Zea mays: one gene and its partners. The main gene of each other region encodes a partner of the protein of the gene in region 6 in a complex. Links are inferred from orthologs where the notes say so. Each region holds a gene or a part of one and is shown on either strand. Other genes may lie near its edges. The genes, in order: Mediator of RNA polymerase II transcription subunit 31, Mediator of RNA polymerase II transcription subunit 28-like, Mediator of RNA polymerase II transcription subunit 13-like, Mediator of RNA polymerase II transcription subunit 32-like, mediator of RNA polymerase II transcription subunit 18, Probable mediator of RNA polymerase II transcription subunit 26b and Mediator of RNA polymerase II transcription subunit 33A.

The links.
Region 1: Probable mediator of RNA polymerase II transcription subunit 26b (region 6) and Mediator of RNA polymerase II transcription subunit 31 share a complex: the UniProt entries of both Arabidopsis thaliana proteins name them as parts of the mediator complex. The link is inferred for Zea mays from reciprocal best matches to the Arabidopsis thaliana genes AT5G05140 and MED31.
Region 2: Probable mediator of RNA polymerase II transcription subunit 26b (region 6) and Mediator of RNA polymerase II transcription subunit 28-like share a complex: the UniProt entries of both Arabidopsis thaliana proteins name them as parts of the mediator complex. The link is inferred for Zea mays from reciprocal best matches to the Arabidopsis thaliana genes AT5G05140 and AT3G52860.
Region 3: Probable mediator of RNA polymerase II transcription subunit 26b (region 6) and Mediator of RNA polymerase II transcription subunit 13-like share a complex: the UniProt entries of both Arabidopsis thaliana proteins name them as parts of the mediator complex. The link is inferred for Zea mays from reciprocal best matches to the Arabidopsis thaliana genes AT5G05140 and GCT.
Region 4: Probable mediator of RNA polymerase II transcription subunit 26b (region 6) and Mediator of RNA polymerase II transcription subunit 32-like share a complex: the UniProt entries of both Arabidopsis thaliana proteins name them as parts of the mediator complex. The link is inferred for Zea mays from reciprocal best matches to the Arabidopsis thaliana genes AT5G05140 and MED32.
Region 5: Probable mediator of RNA polymerase II transcription subunit 26b (region 6) and mediator of RNA polymerase II transcription subunit 18 share a complex: the UniProt entries of both Arabidopsis thaliana proteins name them as parts of the mediator complex. The link is inferred for Zea mays from reciprocal best matches to the Arabidopsis thaliana genes AT5G05140 and AT2G22370.
Region 7: Probable mediator of RNA polymerase II transcription subunit 26b (region 6) and Mediator of RNA polymerase II transcription subunit 33A share a complex: the UniProt entries of both Arabidopsis thaliana proteins name them as parts of the mediator complex. The link is inferred for Zea mays from reciprocal best matches to the Arabidopsis thaliana genes AT5G05140 and RFR1.

Annotation. Positions count from the first base shown.
Region 1 is NC_050096.1:207,962,300-207,966,294, reverse strand, and holds the start of Mediator of RNA polymerase II transcription subunit 31, read right to left. Parts: upstream 2,801-3,995; 5' UTR 2,726-2,800; intron 2,603-2,725; 5' UTR 2,571-2,602; coding exon 2,441-2,570; intron 1,963-2,440; coding exon 1,866-1,962; intron 1,790-1,865; coding exon 1,711-1,789; intron 1-1,710. UniProt on the Arabidopsis thaliana protein: Component of the Mediator complex, a coactivator involved in the regulated transcription of nearly all RNA polymerase II-dependent genes.
Region 2 is NC_050103.1:84,916,337-84,919,954, forward strand, and holds Mediator of RNA polymerase II transcription subunit 28-like, read right to left. Parts: upstream 2,469-3,618; 5' UTR 2,323-2,468; coding exon 2,133-2,322; intron 1,699-2,132; coding exon 1,586-1,698; intron 821-1,585; coding exon 686-820; 3' UTR 501-685; downstream 1-500. UniProt on the Arabidopsis thaliana protein: Component of the Mediator complex, a coactivator involved in the regulated transcription of nearly all RNA polymerase II-dependent genes.
Region 3 is NC_050104.1:30,374,727-30,378,778, forward strand, and holds the start of Mediator of RNA polymerase II transcription subunit 13-like, read left to right. Parts: upstream 1-1,252; 5' UTR 1,253-1,717; coding exon 1,718-1,741; intron 1,742-2,283; coding exon 2,284-2,357; intron 2,358-2,472; coding exon 2,473-2,612; intron 2,613-2,714; coding exon 2,715-2,801; intron 2,802-2,898; coding exon 2,899-2,986; intron 2,987-3,081; coding exon 3,082-3,165; intron 3,166-3,699; coding exon 3,700-3,777; intron 3,778-3,876; coding exon 3,877-3,956; intron 3,957-4,052. UniProt on the Arabidopsis thaliana protein: Component of the Mediator complex, a coactivator involved in the regulated transcription of nearly all RNA polymerase II-dependent genes.
Region 4 is NC_050101.1:142,578,410-142,582,166, reverse strand, and holds Mediator of RNA polymerase II transcription subunit 32-like, read left to right. Parts: upstream 1-1,238; 5' UTR 1,239-1,357; coding exon 1,358-1,801; intron 1,802-3,044; 3' UTR 3,045-3,257; downstream 3,258-3,757. UniProt on the Arabidopsis thaliana protein: Component of the Mediator complex, a coactivator involved in the regulated transcription of nearly all RNA polymerase II-dependent genes.
Region 5 is NC_050100.1:126,532,858-126,537,080, reverse strand, and holds mediator of RNA polymerase II transcription subunit 18, read left to right. Parts: upstream 1-1,423; 5' UTR 1,424-1,813; intron 1,814-2,007; 5' UTR 2,008-2,017; coding exon 2,018-2,053; intron 2,054-2,820; coding exon 2,821-2,920; intron 2,921-2,993; coding exon 2,994-3,051; intron 3,052-3,119; coding exon 3,120-3,476; intron 3,477-3,578; coding exon 3,579-3,681; 3' UTR 3,682-3,945; downstream 3,946-4,223. UniProt on the Arabidopsis thaliana protein: Component of the Mediator complex, a coactivator involved in the regulated transcription of nearly all RNA polymerase II-dependent genes.
Region 6 is NC_050103.1:106,778,747-106,782,934, forward strand, and holds the start of Probable mediator of RNA polymerase II transcription subunit 26b, read left to right. Parts: upstream 1-1,388; 5' UTR 1,389-2,146; coding exon 2,147-2,743; intron 2,744-2,830; coding exon 2,831-2,899; intron 2,900-2,997; coding exon 2,998-3,080; intron 3,081-3,281; coding exon 3,282-3,337; intron 3,338-3,422; coding exon 3,423-3,544; intron 3,545-3,644; coding exon 3,645-3,672; intron 3,673-3,765; coding exon 3,766-4,148; intron 4,149-4,188. UniProt on the Arabidopsis thaliana protein: Component of the Mediator complex, a coactivator involved in the regulated transcription of nearly all RNA polymerase II-dependent genes.
Region 7 is NC_050097.1:165,234,306-165,238,305, forward strand, and holds the start of Mediator of RNA polymerase II transcription subunit 33A, read right to left. Parts: upstream 2,801-4,000; 5' UTR 2,653-2,800; coding exon 2,333-2,652; intron 1,701-2,332; coding exon 1,590-1,700; intron 853-1,589; coding exon 508-852; intron 1-507. UniProt on the Arabidopsis thaliana protein: Component of the Mediator complex, a coactivator involved in the regulated transcription of nearly all RNA polymerase II-dependent genes.

The DNA of each region.
Region 1 (3,995 bases), on a different chromosome or scaffold from region 6:
CCTGCAGCTTGGTTGGTTTGGCCTGGCCGCCAGGACACTAACGCAGCTGGGCACAAGGTTCCGGACCAGGTAACTAGCCGGTGCAAATAATGCAAGTGGCCAAGTGGCGGCTCCCTCAGCCTACTTGCAGTTGCAAACAAGAGTGGGCTGAGGGCTACTGCTGGGCACCATAGCCAGATCCAACTAATGGCTGTTGCTCCCTGTATGTGCATGCATGCATGGTTGAAACATTGGTCATAGTCCAAAATGATATTTTAGTCATAGTTCAAAACTCTAAAATTCTGCTGGGAGTCATGCATGGTTCAAACCTAGTTATCATGAATGGCTTAACACTTTTTAGAATTTTGGTTATGATCTGCGATGCACAAAGTATTAATAATGCAATTTTGTATTTTAACTATTTATACTTCCAGATATTCCTCGACATACTTCCAAGCATAGACGTGTCTATAAGTTATGACTAATCGTGTTTATTTGAAACAAAAAATAACGAAGACCAACAAATTCAAGAAAAATATTGTTATGCAACTAGTGGGTAGACCTACATTACCCATTGGGTCAACAGGTTCTGGCCCTATCAGCCAATTTAAACTTTGAAGCGGCCCTTTGACGTTTGACCTATTGGCCTTACTTTTGTGGGTCAGGTCGACTACCCAATGGGTCGACCCGACCCATTCCCGTTCCTAGCCATGAACCACCCCACAAGAATAAAGAGATATAAAAAGATGAGGATGAATTGCTTCAAGTTCTTTCGCGTGCTGGAAAAATTGAATAAAGTAAAAGAAGAGTACTCAAGGTTCTCTAGTTGTTCAAAAGAATCTAATGATCCTGACTCAATCTATGATAGATTGGCTGTTTCCCCTATGACTTTGTGGACAACTCATGGACAGCCTATTCCCTTATTGATGAATTTGGCCACCAAATTGCTTAGCCAACCAGCCTCATCTATAGCTTTATCCATAGTGTCAAGAGAAATGCCATAACTCAGAGCATGTTGAAGATTTGGTCTTTGTCTGCCAAAAAGAACTGATGCATATAAGACAGGAGAGACAATGATGTGGGATGTGGGAGGAGATTTTTTTATTCACTTGGTGGTATTGGCATCCTTGAAGTGCCTGACCTCTCCCTTGATGGGCCTGAATTGCAAGCTGTGTCTTTTGGTTTGGGTGATCTCCAGCTTAATGTTGTGGATGAGAATGAAACAAGCAAGACAAATGCGGAATAGGAACTTGGTGCGAGCCTGAATTGCAAACCTGAATGCCTTTTATTAATTTCTTAAATTTGAGACTACTGTATTTGAGAATTGAGACCTGCTGTGCTTTAATTAGAACTTAAATAGTTAAGTAGATTGTGGTGTTTCATTGTTAGATTGCTATCCATTTTAATATGCATTATTATCCTTTTATTTAAAAAATAGTAAAATGTATTCATGAATGGGAATTTTTAGGAAATTGCTGTATCTGTGTATCAGTATCCTTGTGATACCGATACATGTATCAGTATACGTGCTGCATAGTTCTACAAAAGTACTCATATCAAGTTTGTGTGACTTTCTGTTTTTTATAGGTTCTAGAAAGCAAGTCAAAATAATATGGCCCAACAGAGCAACTTCAGCTAGGTTTTGAAAGAAGGGATGACACTGCAAGACGGTAAACAAAAGCTAAAAACGGTGCTCAAGTGTGAACGTGTGATTCTAGGCCAAAAGATCACCTTGTTTGTTGGATGTGCCATTGCATTTCGGAAATTGGCATTTTGGAGAAGCTCAAGAAAGAAAAGGCAGTGTGGATACCTGCATCATCAGCAAAAACAATGAGCAAGCCATTTCCTCTGTTGCAGAAAAAACCACTGAATATGGTATCACTCACATTATGTATTTGATATACTCTGGTCGCTGCCAGTATTTTAGATACTTGAGGTACCCGATAAATGCCTCATCCTCGAAATATCTATTCTGCGCTAGATCTATTTGGGAAAAGAAAGAGCATTCAAATCATCCATGCAGTACCAAACATGATGTGCATTGAACAAGAAAGTTCAAGTAAAAAACAAGGAGCCATGAGGCACACAAAATGATGATATCAAGCAACACTACTAACAATATCACAGCCTTAGCTTAGCAATCATATCCTATTGATAAGAAACCGCTCATGAGGCCCATGCAGACGAGACCAGTTTGAATAGGGGAGAATGGGATTTAGGCTAGTACTAAAAATTCCTAAGCACTCCTAGCTCCCTTCTCAAGCAGGGACTTACTGACAAACACACACTTCTACAAAAATTTTCAGTCCGTTGCAATGGATTGCTAGTTACTAGCAGCACAGCCCCTATCAAAATTGGTAACAAACCGGTACAGGAAAACGTTCTATAGATGCGTGCAACATCAGATTAGCTAATCCCAACAAGGTGAGATGAAACAAGAGAATGGAGGACAGTACAGTACAGTGGATGTAGGTAGGGTTGGCGAGGCACTGCACGAACTCCAACTCGAGTAGGAATCGCTGACTCCCATTGTCAGGGTCCTTGTACGGCGGCGGCTTCCCACCCACGCCAGGGTTCTCGACGTCGGACATCGGGGTTCAATCGGTTGAAACCAGGGGCAGATCTATTAAAGGAACAAGGGTGTACATGTGTACACACATTAATCAAATAGTCTGAGGTTAGAGTTTTGAGAACTCGATTTCGCACAGCAGACAGGGAACTAGGGAAGAGAAGAGGGTGGGAATACTTGGCGGGCGCTCTTCGCCGGCAAACAGATCGGAGAAGGTCTCGGCAGTCGGCACCTGGCGTACGGCGGCGGCGGTAGCCGACCCCGAGAGAGAATGACCGGATCTTGGAAAGAGGGAGTATCGACCTGGACTGACGCACTGTCAGCGGTGCGAGCCAGGCGGCGAACGGACGAGAGGAGGTGCCGTGTGCGGTTGGAATTTTTTTACTTTTATTAATCCTTTTTAAAATTATACTACCTCTAGTTTTTTATATATGACGCTCACCAATTCATTTTTGACTTGTTCGACGACAAATAAAAAAATCAAGGGAGTATTATTTCCTAAAAATAATATAGTCACTCTCTCTTCTCTTCTCTGAAGCACTCTCTGCTACGTAAAGCACTGGTTTTTAAGTTTTCACATCGTCTCTGATAAAAAAGAAGTATTTTTTTTTTAATCTAACTCAATCCAAATATCTTCGCGTGTCGTGGATCACGTACGTAGATTTATTTCTCCCCCGTTTCTCGTCTAATAAAATAGAGAGGGGATAAGACTTATTTTGCTATAGTCAAACTAACCCAACTATAAATCCCTCTTGTAGATCTATCTATTATCGATCATCACAAAGCGCCCTACTCGGTAGATATGCTCGCGCTCCATTGTCAACCTCTAGGACATCTGTCGGCGTCTCGAGACCGGGGGGTCCCTAAGCCGACGAGTGAGTGTGCCGCGTGCCCCAGCCCAGATGGGTCGAGCGCGTGGGCGAGCGCGAAGAGGGGAAGCGAGGTGGCCGGAGACGGGCGTGAGAAAGGTGGAAATCCCGCGGCCTTCGTGTTCGTCCCGCGCCCAGGTCGGGTGCGCTTGCAGTAGGGGGTTACAAGCGTCCACGCGGGTGAGGGAAGCGAGCGGCCCCAAGAGAGCGCCTGTCCCGTCCTCGTCCCCGCGCGGCCAACCTTTTCTAAGAAGGCTCTGGTCCTTCCTTTTATAGGCGTAAGGAGAGGATCTATGTGTACAATGGGGGTGTAGCAGAGTGCTACGTGTCTAGCGGGGGAGAGCTAGCGCCCTAAGTACATGCCGATGTGGCAGCCGGAGAGATCTTGGCACCCAGCTGGTGTGGTGTCGTGGCTGTCGGAGGAGCGACGGAGCCTGGCGGAGGGACAGCTGTCGGAGCGGTTGGGTCCTTGCTGACGTTCCCCTGCTTCCGTAAGGGAGCTGAGAGCCGCCGTCGTCACAGGGCTAGCGGGGCGCCATCATTGCCTATCTGGCAGAGCTAGCCAGATGGGACACCGG
Region 2 (3,618 bases), about 22 Mb from region 6:
CTCATCCAATTATCTCCAATCCATATGAATTGTGATGACAAGGATTATGTCCTTAGGTCTTGTTCATTTTATAGCAAAATCATATGGATTAAGGTGTATTGAAATGGATTGAGAAAGATTTTGACTAGTAGTGGATTACTGAACAACCTGGCAGTGCACCTTTAGGAACGGAGATAAAACACAAAGTGTTTTTTTTCGCTTGCTCGTGTATTCAACGTAGCAACTGTGCCACTTGGCTCGGCTTTTTGTCAGGAGAAGGTTCTGTTCGAGCTGATCCAGGCACAAATGGAGTAAAGATAGAAAGGAACTTGCGAACATGGCGGCCATCCAGAGTAGGCACATAACCCGCTAGGCTGACTCCAACAGTTCACCCAAAGTTTACCCATAAATTCACCCAAAGTTTACCCATAAAGACAGGAAGCCGTTAGCATTCTATGTCGTTTTATGATGGCAGAGACTCATTTTGCACAACAACAGAGACCATGGGGCAAGTAAAGGTACACAATCAAACATAGATAAAGTGGGCTTTGTTCGTGGCTTCCAACCTTAAGAAACCAACAAAAGGCGATTGCTAACCATGGCGTCAGATTCTAAGCACATGTACACAGTTTTATAGGGCATAACATAACATTTGGTCACCTAGAGGTTCATGATCACTACAAGGTAAACCGCAGAATCGCACTCCTCACACCCTTTCAAGCTCCGTGATGTGCTTGCTCAGCTGCTCCTTCAGTTCCTTTTGCCACCCTTCAATCAACTTCTTGTGCTTGGCAATGAGCTCAGACTTGCTCTTCAACTCTTCCTCCATTGTCGTAATCTCCTGTGCAATGCAAAACCGAACATGCCAACGAGATGATAAATATTGGGTGGGTATATGTATCCCAAATTCCTAATTAAGACCAGCAACTATGCACCTGTGATTCTCTCAACTACTGCAAAGGCATTTTTTTACAGAAACGTGTGCATGAAAAATTCATGAGCACAGAAGGTGTTAGGTGTATGAATGTGATTGGGTGTTCCTTGGGAACATTACTTTGTAGAAGTGACGATTCAGGCAGGCTACCAGTTCTTTCAATAATGAACACCTCAACTTCGAGTAGAAATATAGGAGTCTTTGTAATAAAGCTTATACTGAGTGTAACAAACTGCCTGTAGCAAGTAGCACTATGTGATTTATAAAGTTGGCTATTCCTAAGTATAGTGCCAACCACAAATGATCACAGTACTTGGGATGATCATATCATGTGAAATGTCAATCCTATCACCAATGAAAACTTTTAAGGGAGTGTTTGGTTTGAGGAGTCACTCAATCCAAAATGATGTGGTGTATAATGAGTCCATTCCTCAAATTTGCTGGGATGACCTTATTTCTCATATTAGTACTAACTAACTATAAGGAATGACTCCATTCCTTATTTCATTCCACAAATCAAATAAAAAAAGAGAAGTGAGAAGACGATGGACTAGCTCATTCCTCAAACCAAACACTTTATAATTAATTCATTCTCCATAACCAGTCCCCAATTTAATTTAACTACTATCCTTGCCGCACTCTTAACTATACGAGGATAAAGTAGAAATATACCTTTCGAAGCATCTCTTCTGCAGATGGCGGTTCCTCACGCTGCAGGCTGATGAAATAAGACTGGAGCTTCTTGGCAGCCTCCATGAAATCCCTTGCGTGCCTCTCAACATCAACTGCCCAATTTAGTAGAGACTACAACACTTAGATACCCTGTTTGGCAGGAACGAATGAGAAAATGCAATTAAATTTCTCTAATAAGCATTGCACACTATTAAGTCGGTATCTAAAAATGTGATTTACTTCTTTAATAAGCATTGCAATGTGATTGCCTGATTGGTACAGTTGATACAAGTTGAGTTCTCAGTCTAGGACCTAAGAAACCAATCGATATACAATTTCCTGGGCACAAGAAAGATGCAAAATCTTCCTCTAGAAAGAGCAAGATCCCTTTATCCATCCCGTAGGCAAAACAACGAACATGTGGCGCGCGACGGCGCCATTAACCGACCGAACACCATGAGACTTTACTGGTGTCGAAGCCGTGCCGGATCAAAGTGAAGCTACCTCTAGAGGAGGAGAGTGGGGAAATGATGGGGGTCGGCCGTACTCTGGTGGGAGGACTGGAGGGAGCGGTCGACGGCCTGGAGCTCGCGCGCGGGGAGGCACGGCAGCAGCGCGGCCTCCAGCGCCGCCACACACGCCAGCATGTCCTCGAGCCCACCCGCCGCGGGAGTCTGCTGCGTCGGCGGCGGGGGCGGCGTCTGCGCTGGCGACTGCGACGGCGTCGGCTCAGCCATGACGGAGAATGCGGAGAGAGGACCCGGAGAGATTGGGAGCGCTTGGGCCTCCGATTTGCTATTGACAAGGAGGAACTTTCCGTTGGATTGAAGACGCACGGCTAGGATTGGTTTACAAATGGCGTGTTCTGCGCCTGGATAGGCATAGGCTCGAGGGCTGAGGCTGCCTTGGCTGAAGGAAAGCGCATAGTTTGTTCAGGCTGACAATTTTCTGAAATATTTTTTCTTTTTTATAATAGCACACTTCTTCATATTTTGGTGCCTAAAATTTAGGCAACACTCTTATATACCACTGATTGCTAATAAAGGACCATTTGGATCCTTTTATTTTCAAAGAATTGGAATTTACTCCCTCCAGTCTTCAAATATTTGATGTTTTGGACATGACCTCATATACCAAGGAGCTATTAAATAGGGTTGTTATTTTCCATAATACCCCTAATAAATACGCTTAGATTCCACAACAAACACATGAAGATGTTAGCCTAGATGGTTGGGTCCTAAAGAATTTTACACTAGGTCGTGAGATCAAACCTTCACGATAAGAATAATTAAGCATATGTGGAAGAATGTGTGAACCACTTATATCAAGGGTATATTAGTCCAAAATAAGCTTCAAATGCTTCAACATCAAGCATTTGCTAGTCCAAAATAAGCTTCAAATGCTTCAACATCAAGTATTTGCATCCAAAGTGAAAATCACTTAAACATCAAGTATTTAAAGACTGGAGGGAGTATTTAATAGAGTAGGTTATTTGATTTGAATTTGATATTACACCACTTTCCAAAGTTTAGATATAAACTCATCTCAAATTCATAAGATGGGGTGGAAATTGATTTTATGTATTCAATTCTACGTTTCTACTCTGTAATTTATAACACACTCTTCTACTCACTCTCCTATAGTAGAAATGTAACATATAAATATCTCTCAAATATGGCCAACACTAATATACAAATATACTCACTATAAAACCATATTAGTTTAATTGATTTATGTCTAAATTACAATTATTATATTAGAATTCAATTCCAAGGGTCCAAAGGGGGTCTAAGACTATAATTTTATTGTTTACCTTTATGTTATAACCTATATTTTTTCCCTTAGCTAACTACTAAAATAATTGCAAAATGTTAATGGTCTTTATGTCAACACAAATCAAAATCTACCAAATTTATGATTTTGTTCAATAGATATTTTATTCTTAAGAGTAAAAATGTAGATTATGTCTATATAAATTACAACACACTAAAAACTAAAATTCAGGTACCTAAAATTTAGTAAATCACTTAAGG
Region 3 (4,052 bases), on a different chromosome or scaffold from region 6:
CGGTAAATTGTTGAATTAGGAAGAAAATGTGTTGTGTCACATTTGTCTATCTTCACACTTTTGTGAATCGATTTAAGGGTGTCACTATTTTTTCCCAATTCATTTATCAGTCTGCTATACAGATCCATGATCTCCCTTTATTTTAATTGTGAGTCAACCATGTCTATCTTCACACTTTTGTGAATTGATTTAAGGGTGTCACTGTTTTTCCCAATTCATCTATCAGGTTGCTACACAAATTTCTGGCCTCTCTTTATTTTAATTGTGAATTGATTTAAGAATAAGTTACATTCCTCATCCTTTTTAACATAATTCTCTCAGTCACCTTGTTGATTTTTCCTGCTACTGTCCTCACATTTTGCTCGACCTTTCACTTCCCATTATTAAGGAAAGCTCTTCACTGGCTTGATCTATCGAATGAAGCAGCCAAAAATCGTGCTACTGATTTTTGTTTCCGGCAAGATTATTCTGACAAGAGCTAAGGTTAGCATCTATTTCTTGAGCATTATCGTACATCTCATTTTTTTCTGATCGCGTTAGAGTATATCCAACTTTTTTCTCTTTCCAGGTGAGAGATGAGACGTTGTTTTTAAAATTATCTATTGAGTCCTCATAAAGTTCATAAAAGTCCGACAATGCTAAGTACATGGTAATTGCTAATGGGCATGACTAATTAGGGTATGTTGTTCAAGTATGTGCCCAGTTGTTGTTGTTGTTCCTCTTTTATCGTTTTGTTTCCTAATTTCGACGATACCATTACCTGGATGCTCACGAGACTTATATGATAATACTATCCTTCTATAGAATCAATGTGTTGATTAATATTCGCTACATATTTATCATCGTTTATTTTTTATCAATGACAAAGCACATGTACAATCTTATATACCTTTTAAGATATGTAAACGTCCACTTTTGATGATAATAATAAAAGTATAGAATAACATATAATATTTTTGCATATCAATGTATTTTATTACTATTTAAATTGCACATAAATTTCATGTCATTAGTGTTAATTTGTGAGATATAGGGTTGATAATCTATATGTTGTTCGTTTTATATAATTTTGTGTATTAATATTTATCAAATAATTTATACGCTGTCACAACGTACGGGTATTGAATTATGTGACGATGTGTTAAAAAAACATTAGAAAAAAAGAGAAAAATGATAGTATGAACTTTTATTTGGTGGCCCATCTCCCCCATCTAATTAATTCAGCGTAAGCCCAAGTTCCACCAGACCCACACGTTTCTTTACCCAGCGAAGGCACTGCATCTCCCATCTTCGTCTTCCACGCAGCGCCGGCGCTCCATCTTCCGCAGGCGACGGCGGCGGTGCTCAGGCGCGGGCTCTTAGCCGCGGCGGCGGTGCTCAGGCTCGGGCTCGTAGAGGCGGCGTCAGCGTCTTCCCCTCCCGCCTCTCATCAGTCACCTCGCGCCTTCGCCTCCGGTCCTCCGCACACCGGCCGGTGTTCTGCGTGCGTGCTTCTCTCTCTCCTCCCGCCTCCGGTGGATCGTCAACGGCGCCCGACCCCTCAGGCTGCGCCGCGCGCGGCCTGAGGGCAGCGGGAGCCAGCAGCCGCTGCTCCAACAAAGGGGTTGCGCCGCTTTGGGAGCGCTTATGCCCCAAAGCGAAGCGTTACACGTCCTCTTAGCGCTTCAGCTTGCTGAAGCGTGCGCTTAGTGCCGCTTTTTGGAACCTGGCAGTAACTATGTGGACGAACATTTTCAAAATAGTAAGTCAGACCTTACTCCTGCCCCTCTCCCCACTCTTTGTTATATTCTCTCACTATCTGATGTGGCTCCATTTGTGCAGCACCAAAACTTGGCAATTTGTTCCATTTTGGAATATGCTTGCTTTAAGTTTTTTATTTGATTGTAGCTTCTCGCTAAGTGATTCACATCATCTGGTTCTCAGCCATTTCAAGTTGATATTCTTTCCAATTTGAGCAACATAATGCATTTCTTAATGTCATTGTTATTATATGACAATTATCCGAAGCAATAGTTCCTTTGTAAGTACCGCAAATATGCTGTGATGAAAAAACAATCTCTAAAGAAGCATCTCGAGACCTCGAAGAGAAAGAAATGCCATGAATTTGTGACCAGAGCATTTTTACAACTCAGGCCAACACATTTTACATTGTCAAACCCAGAAGTTGCAACTCATTTTTTTGTTTGGGCCATTCAGCAAATTTGACTACCCAGGCTTTCATATCATGACTGGCATACCTCTTCAAACCATCTAGATTCTCATTGTTATATTTTTCCCTAACAGGGGGAGCTCCAAACAGTTTCTTGGTTTCAGTTTCTTCCTATCGAACCCGATGCAAGTGCAGCGTCTGAGAAAAGGTGCTGTATATGCTTCTTTGATGGCCTTTTGTGCTTTATCTTAGTTGTCTTTGGGCATTCGTTATTTATGTTTGGAATCATTTGCTTGTTTTGTGTATACACGTTCTTATTTCAGTTCAAAGGTCGAGCAGAAAGATGCTCTTAATAGCATTGTGCTTTCGGCTTATCTTCACTTACAAAGTGAAGGTTTTCTAAGTACTTGGACTAATTCCTTTGTTGGTCCATGGGATCCATCTCAAGGAGAGCATAACCCTGGTAATGATCATATGTATTGGCTTCTAAATGTCTATCTATTTTTCTTTCACCTTAAGTTTGGGCTTGGATAATGTATACCACATGGCTTTGCTATAATTACAGATGAGAAGATCAAGCTCTGGCTGTTTCTTCCTGGCTGCCACTCATCGGTATCTGAAATCGCCCAACCTGCTGTAAACAAGCTGAGAGGTTAATTCTGGTTGATTTTTTTTATTGTGATGTCTTAATCCAATGTCCCAGTGCTTATGTATTGCATCTTTCTACTGCTTATTATTTTGCTCTGTAGTTGCTTCAAATGGTTTATGGGTAGCCCCAGGCAACTCGGAAGAGGTAGCAGCTGCACTATCACAGGCTTTAAGAAATTCTTTAGAAAGGTATTCTTGTAGTTCTTTAATATTTGATGCAGAAAGAAATCACCAAGATTTTTTGCTGGTTGGACATGAATATCCCTGTATTTTTTGGGGTGCAGATCACTGAAAGGGCTTTCATATGCAAGGTTTGGTGATGTTTTTACAAAATACAACCCCCCTACAAGAAATCAAAACAGCTTTAGGTTTGTTAGCAAAGTTTTTTACACTTTTATTTGCTTATTCTGTTCTTTTTCCACTTATCAATGCACGATAAGCTGTCAGTTAAAGTTCCATGCTTGGTTTGTGAGGGTTTGGAGGATATGTTGGCTCACTTTATCACAAATGACAGCAGAAGTTTTGCTCTTAAAAATATATAGTATATACTATGTGAGACATGAAATATGTAATGGATCCTGCTACTATTGTGCTTAGATAGGCTTTTGCTTATATATTGATACACTACTCTTTTTGAACAGACCTAATTGGATCATCAATCTGCACTGTAACTATATATAACTTATCTGCTGTTTTTCCTTTCACCATAGGTTTTGGCAATGATTTTTGTGCCATTTTGTTAACCTTTATTATATGATATGCGGATGTGTTGAACTGTTGATGCTTTTAACTGAAGAGATCATTTGGCTACCTTATCTTGTATCGGAGCATATTGCCACAGCTGGTAGTATTCAAGGACTCTACCTTTCCTGATTTCTTTATTCTCATTATTATTATTTTAGGAGAGCACAGCCTACAGTCGAGTTTGTCTTTGCTGCCACCGAGGAAGCAATATTTGTTCACGTTGTAATATCTGCTAGGTAAGTACTTAATGCTCACGAATGCTTGATATATTGCTGATCTTCAGTATATATATGTACTGATGAGTGATGACCTTGTTTTAAATAATATTCTACAAGGTATGTTCGGAACCTTTGTAGTGATGACATAGAGAAAGTTCTCGCTCATTCTCCTCCCTCCATCGGTGAAGGTCTTCCAGGTACTGTTTTCCATCCCTCAATAATGTTTGAGGTCTTGCTTCTTTTGTTGTACCATTGCAGCGCTTTGAAAGACTTCAGACTTCCTTTATTTTTTT
Region 4 (3,757 bases), on a different chromosome or scaffold from region 6:
TTCAATGTACGGTAACGTTTAATATACTACGTATTGTGTATTAATAGAGTGATTCACTGATAATAACACACCCATTTGGTTACATGTCAAGCCAGATGACATGTCTAGAACTATCTAATCAGAGTCACAATCAATAGGGACAATCGTAGCAGTAAGCCAACACACCACTCAGCTCTTCCTACATTCAGTGGCGGATCTCCAACCGAGGCTGGGGCTGCCTGGGCTGCAGCCCGGTCGCGGCCCAAAAATCAGCGAATAAGCCCATCAGCTCCAGCCGCGCGACCGCGTGAACAGCCTCCCAGTCGTAGGTCGCTCCTCCTCCCTCTACCCACGAGCTTCAGGCCTCCAACCGCCCACGCCCCGACGCCCGGAGCACCGCTGCAACCCGCAGCGTCGCTCGCCCGGAGGCCGGACCGCCGGAACACCGCCGCTAGCCCCGCCCGGAGCACCGCCTTGACCACGCCGCTGTCCAGCCGCCACTCCGCGCTCCCTCCTTCTGCTAATTCGTGGAGCTCAGGTTTGTACACACGCGCTGAGAAGAAAGTGTGCTTAGCTATTAGCTTGTTCTTGCATTGGAGTGATGAGCCAGACAGCCAGTGATGTATGGCCTTGCCATAATGCCATGCGCGGTGTGCGGCGTGTGCCAATGCCCCTCCAAGCTTTCTGTTGGGGGTTCCTTGTTCTGTTGGGAGTTTGGGACGATGAAGGAATAGGAGGCCAAGAGAGTTTCTGCTAATCTGTGACAGATCATGCAGGAATAGGACGTCCCATGCGAACTGCGAAGCAGAAGCAACGAAGGTGAAGCTGTGATCTGTGAAGCAGACAAGCAGTGAAGGTGAAACATGTGCTATTGTTTGCTTTAAGTTTGATTTGAAATTTTGATTTGATTATTTATTTGGTAGTAATCCCATGCTTATAAGAATAGGATGGATAAATTTTTCATCAAGAACCAGAAGAAAGATGATTCTAATTCTAAAACAATTAGGATAAACGAGAGTCTTGTAAAAAAAAGACCACGTATAGTAGCTCTGGATCCGCCACTTCCTACGTTCTGTCCGCACGATTGATCGCGAGCTTCCCAACAACACGCGTCCAATAATGTAATTTTTAGAATTTATTTACTATACGGTCTGGGAAAACAATATTATTTTTTTAGAAAAAAATCCATGCCTACAATCTCTAGCCCTGGTCCAGATGCGTATGTCGAATAAAAAGGCCCATCCTGATCTCGACCCGATATCGATTGGGCCATTTCGGCATTTCCTGTTTTCACGCTTTGCTTTCGGTTTCGGGGTCGTCGTGTCGAATTGGGGGCTGAGGCCGAATTGGATCGTCAGAAGCTGGGGGTGAGGGAGGGATGGAGGCGACTGTGGACCACCTGAGCGCGGCGTACGACGACTTCATGGCGGCGGCGGCGGCTGTGGTGGAGGCCCGCGTACAGTCGGGCGGCGAGAAGAAGACGGCGGCCACGGACGCCGCGCTCGAGGCCTTCAAGCAGCGCTGGGAGATCTTCCGCGTCGCCTGCGACCACGCCGAAGAGCTCGTCGAGTCCATCCGCCAGCGCATCGGCTCCGAGTGCCTCGTCGACGAGGCCACGGGGTCCGCCTCCGCCGGATCCGTTGCCGCCCCCGGCATCAAGCCCATCAGCGCCGTCCGCCTCGAGCAGATGAGCAAGGCCGTCCGATGGCTCGTCATCGAGCTCCAGCACGGCGCCTCTGCTCAAGGGACCGGCGGCAGTGGCGGTGCCGCTACCCCAAATGCCGGCGCTGGAGGGCAACACCCGGAGGAGGGTGCCCAGTAGGTATGGACTATGGAGTTACTGAATTAAACTAGTAGCATCGCCCTTCTCATATGAAAATTGTAGCATTTTTCCTTCAATAGAAAACAAAGAACTTGTCGTTGCTGTGTTTCTATGAGTGACAGCATTAACCTTGCGTGTTGATATTTGCAAGAACATGAACTAAGGTGCCGTTTGGTTCATATATTTGTAACGTAATGGGTAATGGATAACGTTAAATCATGTTTGTTATAGTCCAACCGTAATCAGATACCGTACTAAAATTTGATACCAGCCTATTCAAATTTGTTACCGCCAGTAATCGAGCGTAAACTATTACCATTACCATTTGCGTTACATTTTTTGAACCAAACAGCACCTAAATCATTGCGATTTGCTGGCTGTTGTTTTTACCTTTCCATTTTGAGATATACTACTACTCAGCATTAATGTCTTTATGCCCATTGGTTATTGCCCAATCTTTACACAGATTGCTAAAATGCTGCTCTCCATAAAAAAAAATTATAGTGTCGTGACAAAGCATGAGAGGTATATAGATCTAATTACATGATGACCAGAAAAAAAAAACCTGGGGGTATAATGCTGCGCCAGTTTTAAGTCTGTACCTGTTTGGACCAGCCAGTGTATGGGGATTGGTTGTTGCAGTTTTTGATTTTGAGTCAACTCTTTTGTTGAGTGAAGAGATAAGGTTGGGAACTTGGGATCCCTGGTTTGAGATAGACAAAAAAACTAAAAAAGGGCTGATCCAGTGCTGGAGGCTCTCACACGAGTGGGGTCTAGGAAAGGGATGAGCTTCGAACTCACGACTTAAATTAGGTGCCGTTTGGTTCCTAAAATGTAACGTAAATGGTAACGGTAATGATTTGCATTCGATTACCAGGGGTAACAAGTTTGAATAGGCTGGTATCAATTTGTAGTGTGGTATCCAATTACAGTTGGACTTAAACAAACATGATTTAACGTTATTTGTTACCTATTACATTACAAACATATAAACCAAACAGCACCTTAGTTCCTTTATCGTTCTATAGATCCAAAGTTTTATTCACCACTGCTATGGTCCCTACAGATTCATGATATTTGAGTTAACAAAGCAGTACTGGTTTTCATTGTTCTCAGAGTATATTCACTAGTCATTTTCACAAAAGCACGAACTGAATTGAACAGTAATTTAGTAAGATGGTTACCAAGAAACCAGATATGCCCATCACTGTATCTCAAATGTATGTTAATCTATTATGTGCAGAAAAAAAAGATTTGACTATGCTACATGACAGTATGCTGATAAACTATTGGAAGTAAGCAGAAATGTGGAGATGTCATAATCTGTTTGTATCGATATTATAGGATCTGTAGACAAAGTACAATTTCACAATTTGATGGCTGCACTCAAGAGAATTGGCTGAGGACTATGAACTACTCCCTCCATTTCTAATTATAAGATTTTTTGGCTTTTCTAGATCAATAGTTTTTGCTACACACCTAGAAATATATTATGTATAGATACGCAAAAGCTATGAACCTAGAAATGCCAAAATGTTTTATAATTTGGGACAGAGGAAGCATTAGCAGAAAAAACATGCGTTTACATCCAACATGGATTAAGACGCGTTAACGCATTATCATACCAAAAACATAGATGATATGGTGAGCAAAGTGCATTATCATACCAACAACAGTAACATGGATTAAGACCACAACTGATTGTTAAAATTTGGCCACTGACTCAATATAAGCAGTGTACCTAAAAAATAGAGCTGAAATGAGATAATCTGTACAGAAACTTTAAAGGTTGTAACCAATGCCAAATTCAGAAAATAGAGCTAGATAAAATATTAGCTCCATAAGTATACCGGACTTTGATAAATGTAACATGCTGAATGATACTACTCCGTATCATGTGAGAAAAGGATCTGAGTATCTGGTCGATTAATTTAAGAATATATTAAGACCTGGAAC
Region 5 (4,223 bases), on a different chromosome or scaffold from region 6:
ATCAGAGTAAGGTAATTAGGAAAGGGTTTTGTCCATTTCTATTTAGGTTTCGTCCTACAGTCAACATTTTCTCTGATACCACTTCTGTCACACCCGGATTTAAGGAACAAAGCCGAATGCATCTCATACATGTGCCAAAGAAGACAACATATATAATAACAGAGTGTATAGAGATAAATGTCACAATAACATCAGAGTACTTATTACATCGCGGAAGTCTTACAAAATAAAAGATAAATATAAATCGAACTAAAATCCATCTTTAGCGCCAATAAGTCAACTGGGAGATGCCACCTAGATTAGATCAAACTCCTCATTGTGTGCCTCCTCCTGAACCACCTGTTCTTCTCCTATGGGGGTGTGAGACAGAAAGGGTGAGCTCACATATGATCATAGCTCAACAAGTTGTGGGGAAACTAGTGTGCATGAACTCACCAAAGGTGAGAGTTCATGTGAAGTGTAAGGCTGATCAACAAAATAAAGGTTGAAGCTGAGCATTGCTTTTATAAGTTGGTCAAAATTTTATTAGCAGTTACTAAGTGTAAGTAAATACCAAACCATAATAAATAATAGAACAAAATTAATAAGTAATCACATGCAATGCAAATGACAAATTGAATTTAAGTTCCATTAATTAATCATGCGACAGTTCTGAGCTGCTCATGACCATGAGCTCGGCTAGTATACCAGTTTTACACTCTACAGAGGCTGTACCCTGTATCCACAAGTAATGTTACCCATCTACCAAGGGATCGCGACTCTCATACACCTCTACCAAGGAAGCGAGACAGGGCAACACTACGAGGCCTTTATAAAGTTCCACTAGATTTCGACTTGCAAGAATCCCCCGTCTGACCGCCATCGCAGCAAAATCAACCGAGAACCTCTCTGCATGTAACTCTCTTACTGCCGTTGCCCCTTTCGGGTAAGGTAGTTTTCCACTAGCTTTCCTAATTAGTTAGTCAAGGGGTCTCATTCCTCTCTTGTGGTGACACATGTTTCTCAAGTTAAGCTCTATGTTCCAATTAAAGATAATAATCTTGACATGAATAAAAATAAAATAACAAAATAATTGGAACATGGATATAATGAAATATTAACCCAAAACCATGTAAAGAAATAGTAAAACTATCAAGTGATTTAGGAATAAAAAGGTAAAGTGATAACATATCTAGAGTAACCTATTAGGTCTTATCAAAATTAAAATAAAAAAAGTGACAAATAAGGCTGAACAACCCCCGCACCGCGACTAGGCTGAACAATCCTGACTCAAGCCCACGGTTTATCTTTTCTGTCCGAGATCACCAAATTTTGATACTTTTTTCGTTTTCGCTATTAACCAAAAAAACAAATTTCAGTCCGTTTTAAATGGATTTGATTCAAAATATAACAATATAAAAAATAAAAGATTAGTCAACGAAACGAAATTTGGATCATTCCAAACGAGACTGTGAACTCTCCCAGCTCAAGCCCACCTCCCTGCTCAAGCCCAGCCGTCCACTGCCTGGCTCCCTCGTCCGGTCGTTCCCGTCTCCCTCCTCGCGTCGCGTCCACCATTGTTCCTGTCGACGCTGCGCCGCACGGCTCGCACCGCCGACAGTGCCTCAGTCCTATCGAGCCTCCCTCTTCCCAGATCAGGCCCTAGCTGGGCTACAGCCGCCGCCGCCGCTGCCGCATCCGTCACCTTCACACCGCGTGCGCGCGCGCTCTCTCTCTCTCTCTCTCTTTGCGACGACTGGACGGGCTACCGCAGTCGCCACCATAGGCACCACGCCCTTCGCTGATCTATTCGCTGGCGAAGAACGCTCTCAATGTATTCCCACTCCCACCCCCTTCTTCTCTCTACCCGCTGTGCGAAAACGAGTTCCCGAACTCTAACCTAACTATTTGATGTCTACTAACTTCTAATTTTGTTTTTTACTGCCATACTGGTCCACCCCTGATACACATATAACAAATCCACTAACGTGATTCTTTTTTTTTGGGTGCAAAATCATTGTGGGACAGTAGAAGATCGATGGAGTGCGTGGTGCAGGGAATCATCGAGAACCAGGTATTGTGCCACAATGCAAGTTGGCACTGATGGTTTATGTAAAATTTGATTTTCACGCATTCCACTAACATTTGAAAGATAGGAGCTCTTTCATCATCGTTAGTGCAGTCTATTTTGTTATGCAGATCAGACATTAACTTTTCCTCTCACTGCTTGCATCTAGATTTGATAAGTATTTTGAATGGTGTATAGATTGTTAATATCTATTTGTAAGTATATACTTATAGTATTGAATTTGTTGTTGAACATTTCGTTACTAATTGAATTCCGTTGCTGTGGACAAAACAATCTCATATTGATGTACATGTACAGTGCACAATGTTGAGCTTACGCACCATACAATCTAGCTTCATTTTAGTGTTCAGTTGAGCTCCCTTAGGTATGGCCACTATCCATAGTTGCCAGTTGGTGGTCACTTTTCTGTTTACTCCATCACAGATAAATACTAACAAAAGTTTATTTTATTGAAGTGATAAATAGATAGATCATGTAGACCACTAAATGTCAACAATTTATTCCGCGCTTTAAGGCACTACTTCTGGAGCTTTTGATTTCATTTGTTTTTTTTCTTCTCAGCATGTTAACAGAATAGTAACATTTAATATACAGTTGGGGGAACATATGATCTATCCTTGTGCTTTTACAATAGAGAGGAACTTAATTTTTTGGTATGTTCTAGTTTATGTGTTGTGCACAGAATGTAAGTTGCTCTTTGTTGTACTGCTCTGCCATTAGTTTAACCTTTGTTTGATCTTTCCATTTTGCAGCATGTCGATGCTCTTGAGGTTCTACTCCAGGGACTCTCTGGTGTCCCGAAAGAGCGTTTTAGGGTGCATGAGCTCTGCCTTAAAAGTGGGCCCAATCTAGGTTAGTTTGTGATTAGTCTACTCCTCCATTCCTACACATGTGGCGTATTAACTGACGTCTTGCAATCATACAGGTGTTGTCCCATCGGAGGTTCGTTTGTTGTGTGACTTAGCTCAGCCCACACCATCCTGGTAACCGAGACAAGCTGCTGAAAGTCTACCTTTTGTTATGTTTATCATTAATTGTGACAAGATTGTAGGACCATAAGACATGTTGGTGGTGCCATGAGAGGTGCTGGTGCGGAGCAAATCTCAGTTCTGGTTCGTACAGTTGTGGAGAGCAAAGCTAGCAAGAACGTCTTGCACTACTTCTACACCCTAGGGTACAAGCTAGACCATGAACTCTTGAAGAGCGGTTTTGCATTTCGTTTCCACCGAGGTGCCCAAATCACTGTCACTGTTACATCTGCTAACAAGATGTCAAGGCTCCATGCAACCGATGAAGCTACGCCAGTCACTCCTGCCATACAGCTAGTGGAAATCACAGCTCCTGCTGCTGCTGATAATTACAATGATGTTGTTTCAGCTGTCACTGCGTTCTGTGAATATCTTGCCCCGTAAGTACCCCAAAGCTTGAATTCCGAGGCAACAATCAGAAAACATATAAGAATGAACCAAACACCTTTTTGGTTTTAATAATCCTTGGAAATCTGCTGCAGGCTGCTGCATCTGTCAAAACCAGGACACTCGACAGGAATCGTTCCAACAGCAGCCGCTGCTGCTGCCTCACTCATGTCAAGTGGCGGTGGCAAAACCTTGTAATGCTGCTAGGACAGCCAAAGTCCGTTCTTGCTGCTAGGACAGCCAAAGTCCGTTCTTTGAGATGAGTGGGCGTGGCTAATGAGGTGGCCTTCTTCGTGCCGAGCATTTGAGCAGTCAGTTTTGCCTGCTAGTGTTGTCCATGTCTGACACATCGTTGTGCCAACCTTGCTCTTGGTTTGACTGGTTGCATGATTGCTGATGGGTAATGCCCTGCCTTGTAGTTGCAGGGTGTAACAATCTAGTATTACCAATATTAAAATTTCTCAAAAATCCAAACCATAATTTCTTTTCTCAAAAAGAAGTTTATCTCATGTGTATATATTTTTCAACTAGGTGAGTGCCCGTGCGTTGCGACGGAAGTAAAAAAATTGTATGAAATATATAAACGGAACGACAAATATCATTATGATATGCAAAATCCGTATGGTAAACATTATCAATATTAGTGGCATGTCCTTTGTGGAAAGACCACCCATTAAAAAGTCATTGATGCACCCATCGGTCGAGACGTTGACAGGAGATTAGTATGACACTTAAGATTG
Region 6 (4,188 bases):
TTAATATATACTCTTCCATTTCCTTTTTCCTTCCTACTATCTCTGCTGCTACACGAAGCCAGCATATGGTTGCTAGTGAAAAGGACACACGACTGGCCCTTCGGCTACCCCAGCAGCCACTCCAAAATGGAACACCCGCGTAAGTCATACTACTGTAGAAAATTTAAAAAAAATGAAAATAAAAAAAAGAACCTCGAAACAACCCTAGCCAGCCACTGTCCCACACTACTGGTGGGAGACGCTAGATGCGCACGCAGTGCACAGGGGACAAAATACAGAGACGGAATTCCTTCTCAACAAAAAGCATGAAACACATGCCACTTTTGAAATGGGAGTATCTATGCGCGGCGTGGGAATAAGCCAGGATGCTCGGATCAAGATGCTAACACTGCAAAAACAGACGATGCATTTCTTTCGCTGTTTATTATAGTTTCATCAGATTGTTTGGTGTAAGATTTTGATGGCTATAGTATTTTTTTTTCTTTTCCCGAGATTTCCGGAGAGGATTTTTTTCTTCTTTTTCTTTCCATCTCTCTCGCTCTTTTCGTTCAATCTTACTTATTATACCGTCACCCATTCTTATCGTTCTTGTTTTTTTGCGACCATGGGTTATCATCTCATGTATTGCGAAACCTATAGTATAGCATTCGACTCCTCATCTCATGTATTGCAAAGCATCGCGGACCTCTTGTGTCTTACGATTTTGCCACCTTGAGAGCCTGCTCTGTACTAGGTGCAGCGCGTCGCACGACTGTGTTAAAAAACTCGTCTTCCGTCTTTTTTTAAAAAACAAATGCACAACAGTTGCCTACAACGACAAGCATTTTTTTTCAAAAGTTATATTCATGTCTCGTCAGTTGTTTCATATAGAATTACGTCTTTATTGTCTCATTCAACCTATCAACTAGAACAAGTACCACGCACCAAGCTGTATTAAATTCACTACAATAAATTTTTTATTTAACACACATTGTACATGTTCCGACTTTATATGGATTTTTTAAAAAAATTAATGATTAAACATTGAAATACGACATGAAGAAAACAGAATAAAAATATATGATAAAGCTTGTGAGGGCATCCCATCCATTTGACATGACACGCTGTGTGCAGTGCTGAAAATACTTGTGCTCGGTAGTCGGTACGCAAATGACTTTGCAATTATGGCCCGAGAGAGATATGCTTTACCAAATAGTAAATAGTTCAGATTATACGCAACTAAACAATAATCATGATGGAAAACCACCCTGTGACTTTGTGAGTGAGCATCATCAACCTAGCAGCACTGCTCCTCAACACAGAGAGAGAGAGAAGGAAAGAGACCGGAAAGGGCGCCCCCCGACGCCCGAGTCGACCGCAACAAGAATCAGCCACGCCGCGTCTCACCCATCTCCCGTAGCATTTCCGCCATCTCCTGCGGGTTGAGTACGGCCGAGTCCTGCTGCCCTTCGCTCGCTTCTTCTGGTAAATTGCAGTTTGTTACCGCAATTGCAGCTGCTAGTGGTGGCGAGGCATGGGCCATGGGAGAAAGACTAGTTGTTGCTGGTGTTTGGTAGTAGTAGCCGCGTAGGTCTCGTGGGTGTGCGCACCCTGCCTTCCCCGTCCCTATCCGCCCGTCTCATCGTCATCCCCTTCCTGTCTTCAACTTCACCTTCCCTGTGTTTCCTCCCCGCTTCCTTCCGCTCTAGGGGTCAGCCAGGCAGTCCAGATAAGATTTGCTCTGGTTAGGCTACCTCCGCGCCGCGCTGGAACTCCCTCCCGGTGAGGTTGTTGAAACCGACAAGGAACGGGGACGTGGGGCCCGAGGAAGGTCACGCTGCTAGTTTTTTTCCTTCGCGATCGATCCCTTCCGCCTCCGGATTCGCCCTGCTCTTGTTCCTCCGCTGTTTTCTCGATCGGTTGGCTGGTGACTCTGCCCCTGCCCCTGCCCCTGCCCCGGCCCCGATTCGGGGGAATCTGATTCGCCGTTGGGCGGGCGGGAGAGATTGGGTTCTTGGTTCTGGTGCCGGTGCGCGCGGCGTAATTTGGTAGCAGATAGAAGCAGGAAGGGGGAGCATCGGCCCTTGGCTGCGCTGCTGAGAATCGCGGTCGGGGGAGGCTGATCTTGGCGACGGTGGCCCGGCGGGGACCGGTGGCGGCCGCGGCGATGGCCGACGGGCTGGATCGGTGGCGCGGCTTCTTCCGTGGCGCCGGCGCTGGCATCTGCGACGTCATCGAGAACGCCATCCTCGTGGCGGCGGCCGACGCGCCGCGGGACTTCCTGCACCGCCGCGACCGCATCGCTGAGAGGCTCTTCACCGCGCTCCGCCGCGACGCGGCGCCGCCGTCCTTCGGCAGCGCCGCGGCGTCCACCACCCCGGCCACTCCCGTTGAGGAGGACAAGGGCAGCGTGCGCCGCGTCGCCGAGAAGGAGTGCAAGGTCGACAGCAGCAGCAACGGTACCCACGGCGGCGGCGGCCATGGCCATGGCCACGCCGATGAGGACGATGATTCTGACTCTGACGACGAGCGCCTCCGCCGCGCCGCAGCGAGCAACTATGGCCACAACTACGATGATGATGACGAAGATGGCGACCAACAGGAGGAAGATGAGCAGCAGCATGCCGCGGATGATACTGAAGAAGGGGAGGAAGACCACGACGCTGAGGAGCTCGAGGCGCTCACCAATGAGATCGATGAGGAGTCACAGATCGTCGGCGAGGTCCTCCGCATCAAGGAACTCCTCCTGCACAAGGAAGACCATGTACTGGCAGACTGCCTCGTTTCTTCATTTATTTATAAGGTCCTTAAACTTCGAATTCCTCTGAGCTAAATCATGTTGTTCCTGCAGTCGGATGCCACTTTGTTCGATTCACTGAGGAGGCTGCAGTTGATGCAATTGTCCGTCTCTACGCTAAAGGTACAAAATGGATATTGCGTACATATGAGCTATTTGATGTGTTGATCCCTGTTTGCTCTGGCTGTTTGGTTTCTTAATCTTAGGACTGTTCATTGCAGGCTACTGAGATTGGAAGAGCTGTTAATCGGCTGCGGAAACACAACTCACGAGAGATTCGGCACCTCGTGTGCACTCTCATTGAGTAAGTTCCATCTTCATTTCTGTCAATTTTGGTCCCTAGTGCTACTTCTCTGTTGCTTTCAAAGTGCTTAATAGCAGACCAAAATCACTGATCAAATATCAACCAACCAATTGTAGATTAGCTACATAATCATTGGAAGTGCCTTCTTGCTAGCGTTCTTGGAAATGTTGTTGACATATGAGGTTACCTTGTGTGTTTCAGAGGTTGGAAAGTTTTGGTTGATGAATGGGTCAGTACCACAAATGCTGCCCTGACAGGTAACTGAATTGAATTGATCTAACAGTTTCTAAATGAAGACTGGCATCTTAGCTTAATATGGATATTTGTTCTTTGGTGCTGTAGAGAACTCCCCTGGCTCTTCAAATCCTTCTGTTGTGGATGAAGAAGAGGAAGGGCTTCCATCTCCACCTTTGGACGAAGGGGCCTTCTTTGCCACCCAAACCACTTCTATTCAACTCTCTGAGGTACTGATATAGTTAATTCCTGCCATCTGATTGGGATTTGTGTTTAACAACAATCTGACTCTGTGTCTGTTGTTTTTCCTCCCATCTCCCCAACCTAAAGTTCTTTGACGAAATGGATGAAGATGGAAGTGAGTACAGCAATTTAGCAGTTCTTAATTTTCCATGCTTATTGCTTGGTTTTAACATTATGATGATTATTAACGTTGCGCATACGGTGCCAGATTTGAGACATAGTAATGACCCGAGCCTTGGAAACAAGAGGGGTAACAATGGTGGGAGACTTGCAAGCCATTCAACGGTTGCAAGGCAAGATCCACCTCGCTCTTATCCTGGAGTCGTCGAAAGAGTTCAACCCAGGAGGCTAGAACTGGCAAGGCAAGAGCCACCAATGAGGCAAGCGAACCCACAAACCCTCCAAAGTTCAAGTTTGCAAGCCAAACCTCACGGTGCGCTCAACAAGCAGTCTAATAATCCCTCAAGTTATGAATCTGGACCGGGGAGACCAGTAAAGGCAGCTCAACAGAGACCATTTGGTGACATGAAACCTAAACAAACTCGAGAGCATGTTGCTATCGAGAGAAAGCCTATGGCAAGCCAGACAGATGTAAGTACACGCAACTAAGGCACATGTTTTTGACGATGGT
Region 7 (4,000 bases), on a different chromosome or scaffold from region 6:
TTGATGTTTACATTCACCCATCAGTTCATCAGATCATGACAAAGCTCGAGTCCCATGGCTGCCGTTTTTATCAAAACTTTTCTTGGCTATTTAAGAGGTAAGGCGAATAAAATACCACAAGCATAGACAGTTGTACTTTTTTCCTTTTGCATAACCCTAAGTGCTTCTAGAACATTATCTTAAATGTTTGCATTAGAGAAAATACACAGAATATTCTATGATACATTGGTTATGTTACTGGCAAAATCTTGAGCAATTATTTGTAGCTCCCCAAACCCAAATCCCACACAAACAGGAATAAACCAAGGCTTCCTCCATAAGCTTGAGTGAAGTTTATGAGGTCATGAGCCTATGAGATGAAGATCTAGTTTGTTATTTGACTAATATATTTGAAAACAGATTACTAATGACCAATCAGCAAAAAGATGAATTCATCATTTCCAAATGCTCAAAAATAAAGACCTGAAACAATTCAGTAAAAGAGTACTTCAAGTTGAAAAGACATACATGTTTTCGCGTGCCAATGATAGGATACGAGTAATTACTTTATCGCGAAGAAGATGCTCAATGAGCTCCATAGTTGTTACAGTGTTCATCTTCTGTAACTTTTTGATCTTCTCAGTTCTTTGTTCAGTAAAAGTTCCTTCAAATGTGCTCACATCTTCAGGCCTTGTTGGCCATTGAGCATTCTTCTCTGGAGTTAACTCTAGTAGGCCCTCATCATCCAGAACAACATCAATCAACTGCCATATAATACAAAGAATGAAATGCACAACAAAAACCCCTGGTTCACATGTAGAGATGCCAAATATCTTGGAAAGTCTAAGATTCCGCTCTATTATATCCATGATCCTGCAAACATTAGAGAGGCTTTAGCAAGGATCTCTTATTGCTCCAGCAAATTTAACACTGCAAGACAGGCCCTTTTTTCAATTGCATTTGAGACTTCTATAGGGATAGAGTGCATGAATAGATAACAGTGCAAGGAACAAGCTTAAAAACCACATGGAAGCACATACACTCTTACTTCCAAAAAACAATTTAAAGTTATAGAGCAATAACAGTGCAAAGTATTAGGAAGTGAAGAACATAAGTAATGTATAAAAGATATATAAGAAAATTTCCAGAAGAATTTCGGCAATAAATGCCGCCTTGACAAATTCAAGAGAAGTTGCATGCATTACTGCAAGACAAGTAGACTTTCCATCATATAAAAGTTGGGGCCCTTAGTTGGAAATGACAGATATGACCACTAATCCACTACAGAGACATCGCACAACAAGGTGTATATACATGTGTAAACCTTATTACAATTACAAACACCTGAAACTGAAATGCTTATTTTAAGGCCATTAAGATATGACCACTAATCCACTACAGAGACATCACACAACAAGGTGTATATACAAGTGTAAACCTTATTACAATTACAAACACCTGAAACTGAAATGCTTATTTTTAAGGCCATTAAGAATAATGCTAAATTACATTGAACACTACACCTATTACTCTGATTCTCATTCCAGACCACTGACTTGAGCATAGTGTTAAGAAAATACAGGGAGCAGTCAGAGAGGGGAAAGGCACACTTTCTGAAATTTGCTGCTTTCATCTGATGATGGAAGTTGAACCCATGTCTTTTCAAGAGCTCAAGGTAGAGTCTATACTCCATTGGCCTGGAAAGCCGGTGAGGAATTACCCTGCAGGACCCGAAGAACAAACGAAGTCCATAAGAATAAACATTGAGAAAAGTCCTAACTCCATCATAAGGTCACACACCACACAATCCAAGCACGTTGCACGACAGCAATACCAGCCAGTGAAATAATTAGTACTAAGTGGGATTTGCCACACGCTAATCTAACTACTTTTCCAGTCCCAAAACATAGGTCAAACTAACCGTGTTGGCTATTACAAGACCCTGTTTCTCTTGAAAAAAAAAACTGGACGAGGATTGCAGTGAAGCCCTGATTAGCCTACCGACTGAGTGTCCAACTGCTTATATATTCTTAAAACAGGCATTTCTCCCATGGTGTGATCTACCCACATTGTCATTTGGCAATGCATTGACACATGACACTGCCACACAGCGTATTTCCGCCCCCTCAAATTATCGGGGCGAAGCACGTCAGCTTCCTGGTAAAACTCGTGTACGGGCAAACACCTGACCGGACACGTCGTAAAACTGCTTGCGTGCATTCGAGGTGCAACTGATTCGATTTAGATCCCCGACAGCTAAGCGCTGCATTCCGCCATTCCGATCCTACCAACCGCCACGGACCACGCCACAGACACAACGCACAAGCCGACGCCACGAAGCACCGGACCGCACCTGGTGGAGAGGAGCGCGAGGAGGAGCGCCGGGGACGCAAGCCGCGCCGCGAGCGCGGCCTCCGCGTACTTCCAAGCGGCGGCCGCCGGGGCAGCCCCGCCACCGCCGCCGCCGCCGCCGGGGAACAGCGCTCGCGCCAGCACCTCCGCGAGCCCCGCGGACCAGGGCACGTCCTCACTCTCGCCCGCCGCCGCAGCGGCCGCCGCCACCCGCGCCGCCCACTCCGGCGGCGGGCGGGCCTCGGCCTGCGCCGCCTTGGTATACTCCGCGGCCCACTCCAGCCACGGCGCGGAGGACGGTGGCGGCGCCGACGTGGCCATGGCCGCGCGTGTTCCCCCCCGCCCGTCAGTGGCGGTGGGTGCTCCTGCCGCCGCGTGGAGTGCCGTGCCGGTGAGGAGAGAGAGAGAGAGAGGCTGCTGGAGTGGTGTCTGCTGCAGCCCTGCAGGTGCTGTGCTGCTGGGTTGGTTTGGTGGTGGTCCGATCGCCGATGATGCTGATGGCGTCCCGTTGGTGTAACCACCTCTCCCCCCAGTCCCCCACCGCACCACCTCGCGGTGGGGCCGCCGCTTCAGGATCTTCTGCGTGACCGAGCTTTCCAACCAAGAGAAAATGGAGTCGCCAGGCTACCACTGGCCGCAGCGGATCCTGGAGGTACGTGTGGTCCCACACCAAGTGGCGTGGTGGTGCCATTGCCGTGATCCAGCCCCCACCCGTTGACACGTGGTCCCGGCGCCCTTGACTTCGTCGCTCGCGGTTTGGAAAAAAGCTGCTGCTGCAGCCCGCGCGCGGCGGGCCCCGCCGACCGACCGTCCGTCCGGCAGCCCAACTCGCGGCGCGGTGGCCACGCCGGCCGTCGTCCTGTTCGGATTGGCTGGGTACTGTGGCGATGCGTCAGGCTCGGCCCTCGGAGTTGGGCCGTTGAGTTCACGCTCACCTACTACGGCGTCAGTGAGTGAGTGGGAACTGACAGTGACACAGCCTGACCACTTCACCTGCAGATATGGTACTACTTTTTTCTGTCTCGCTCTCCGCCAAACAAATCTCTCTCTCTTTTTAGTACTAGTAGGAGAAGACGGTAGGTATGCGTGTGTTCCGAATTTTTTGCATTTTGGTCCTTCATCGGAAAAAAAATCACATTTAGACCCTAGAAAATTTTAATGTCATTTTTGACCATTTACTCGGCGCCGTAGCCTGTGGCGCCGAGGTAACACAGCTCGGCGCCATAGGCTATGGCGCCGAGGTACGTGCTGCGTTGGCACAAACGAATGTCGTGGGGCCGACGTGGTACCGAGCTCGGCGCCATAGATCATGGCGCCGAGCTCTGTTCTGTATAGAAAATTTGTCTAGCTTAATTGGTAAAATACAAGACTCTTAACCTTGTGGTCGCGGGTTCGAGCCCCATGGTGGGTGGTTTTTAATATTTTTTGTCTTTGTCACTTATTTGTTTTTTTTGTCCATATTTTTCGTTTATGTCGCTGATTTGTTTGTCCTGATTTATTTCTCATCCAGTTTTATTTTTGTGACTGATTTATTTATTCGTCCAAATTTTTTTATCCAGCGAGCACAGCAGCTGTGTGCCACAGTGCTCATAAGCCGTCAACTTCTCCCCTTGTTTGCTCAGCTAACCACAATAAAAATCAAATGAGAACACTCTTACTTCAATCGTGA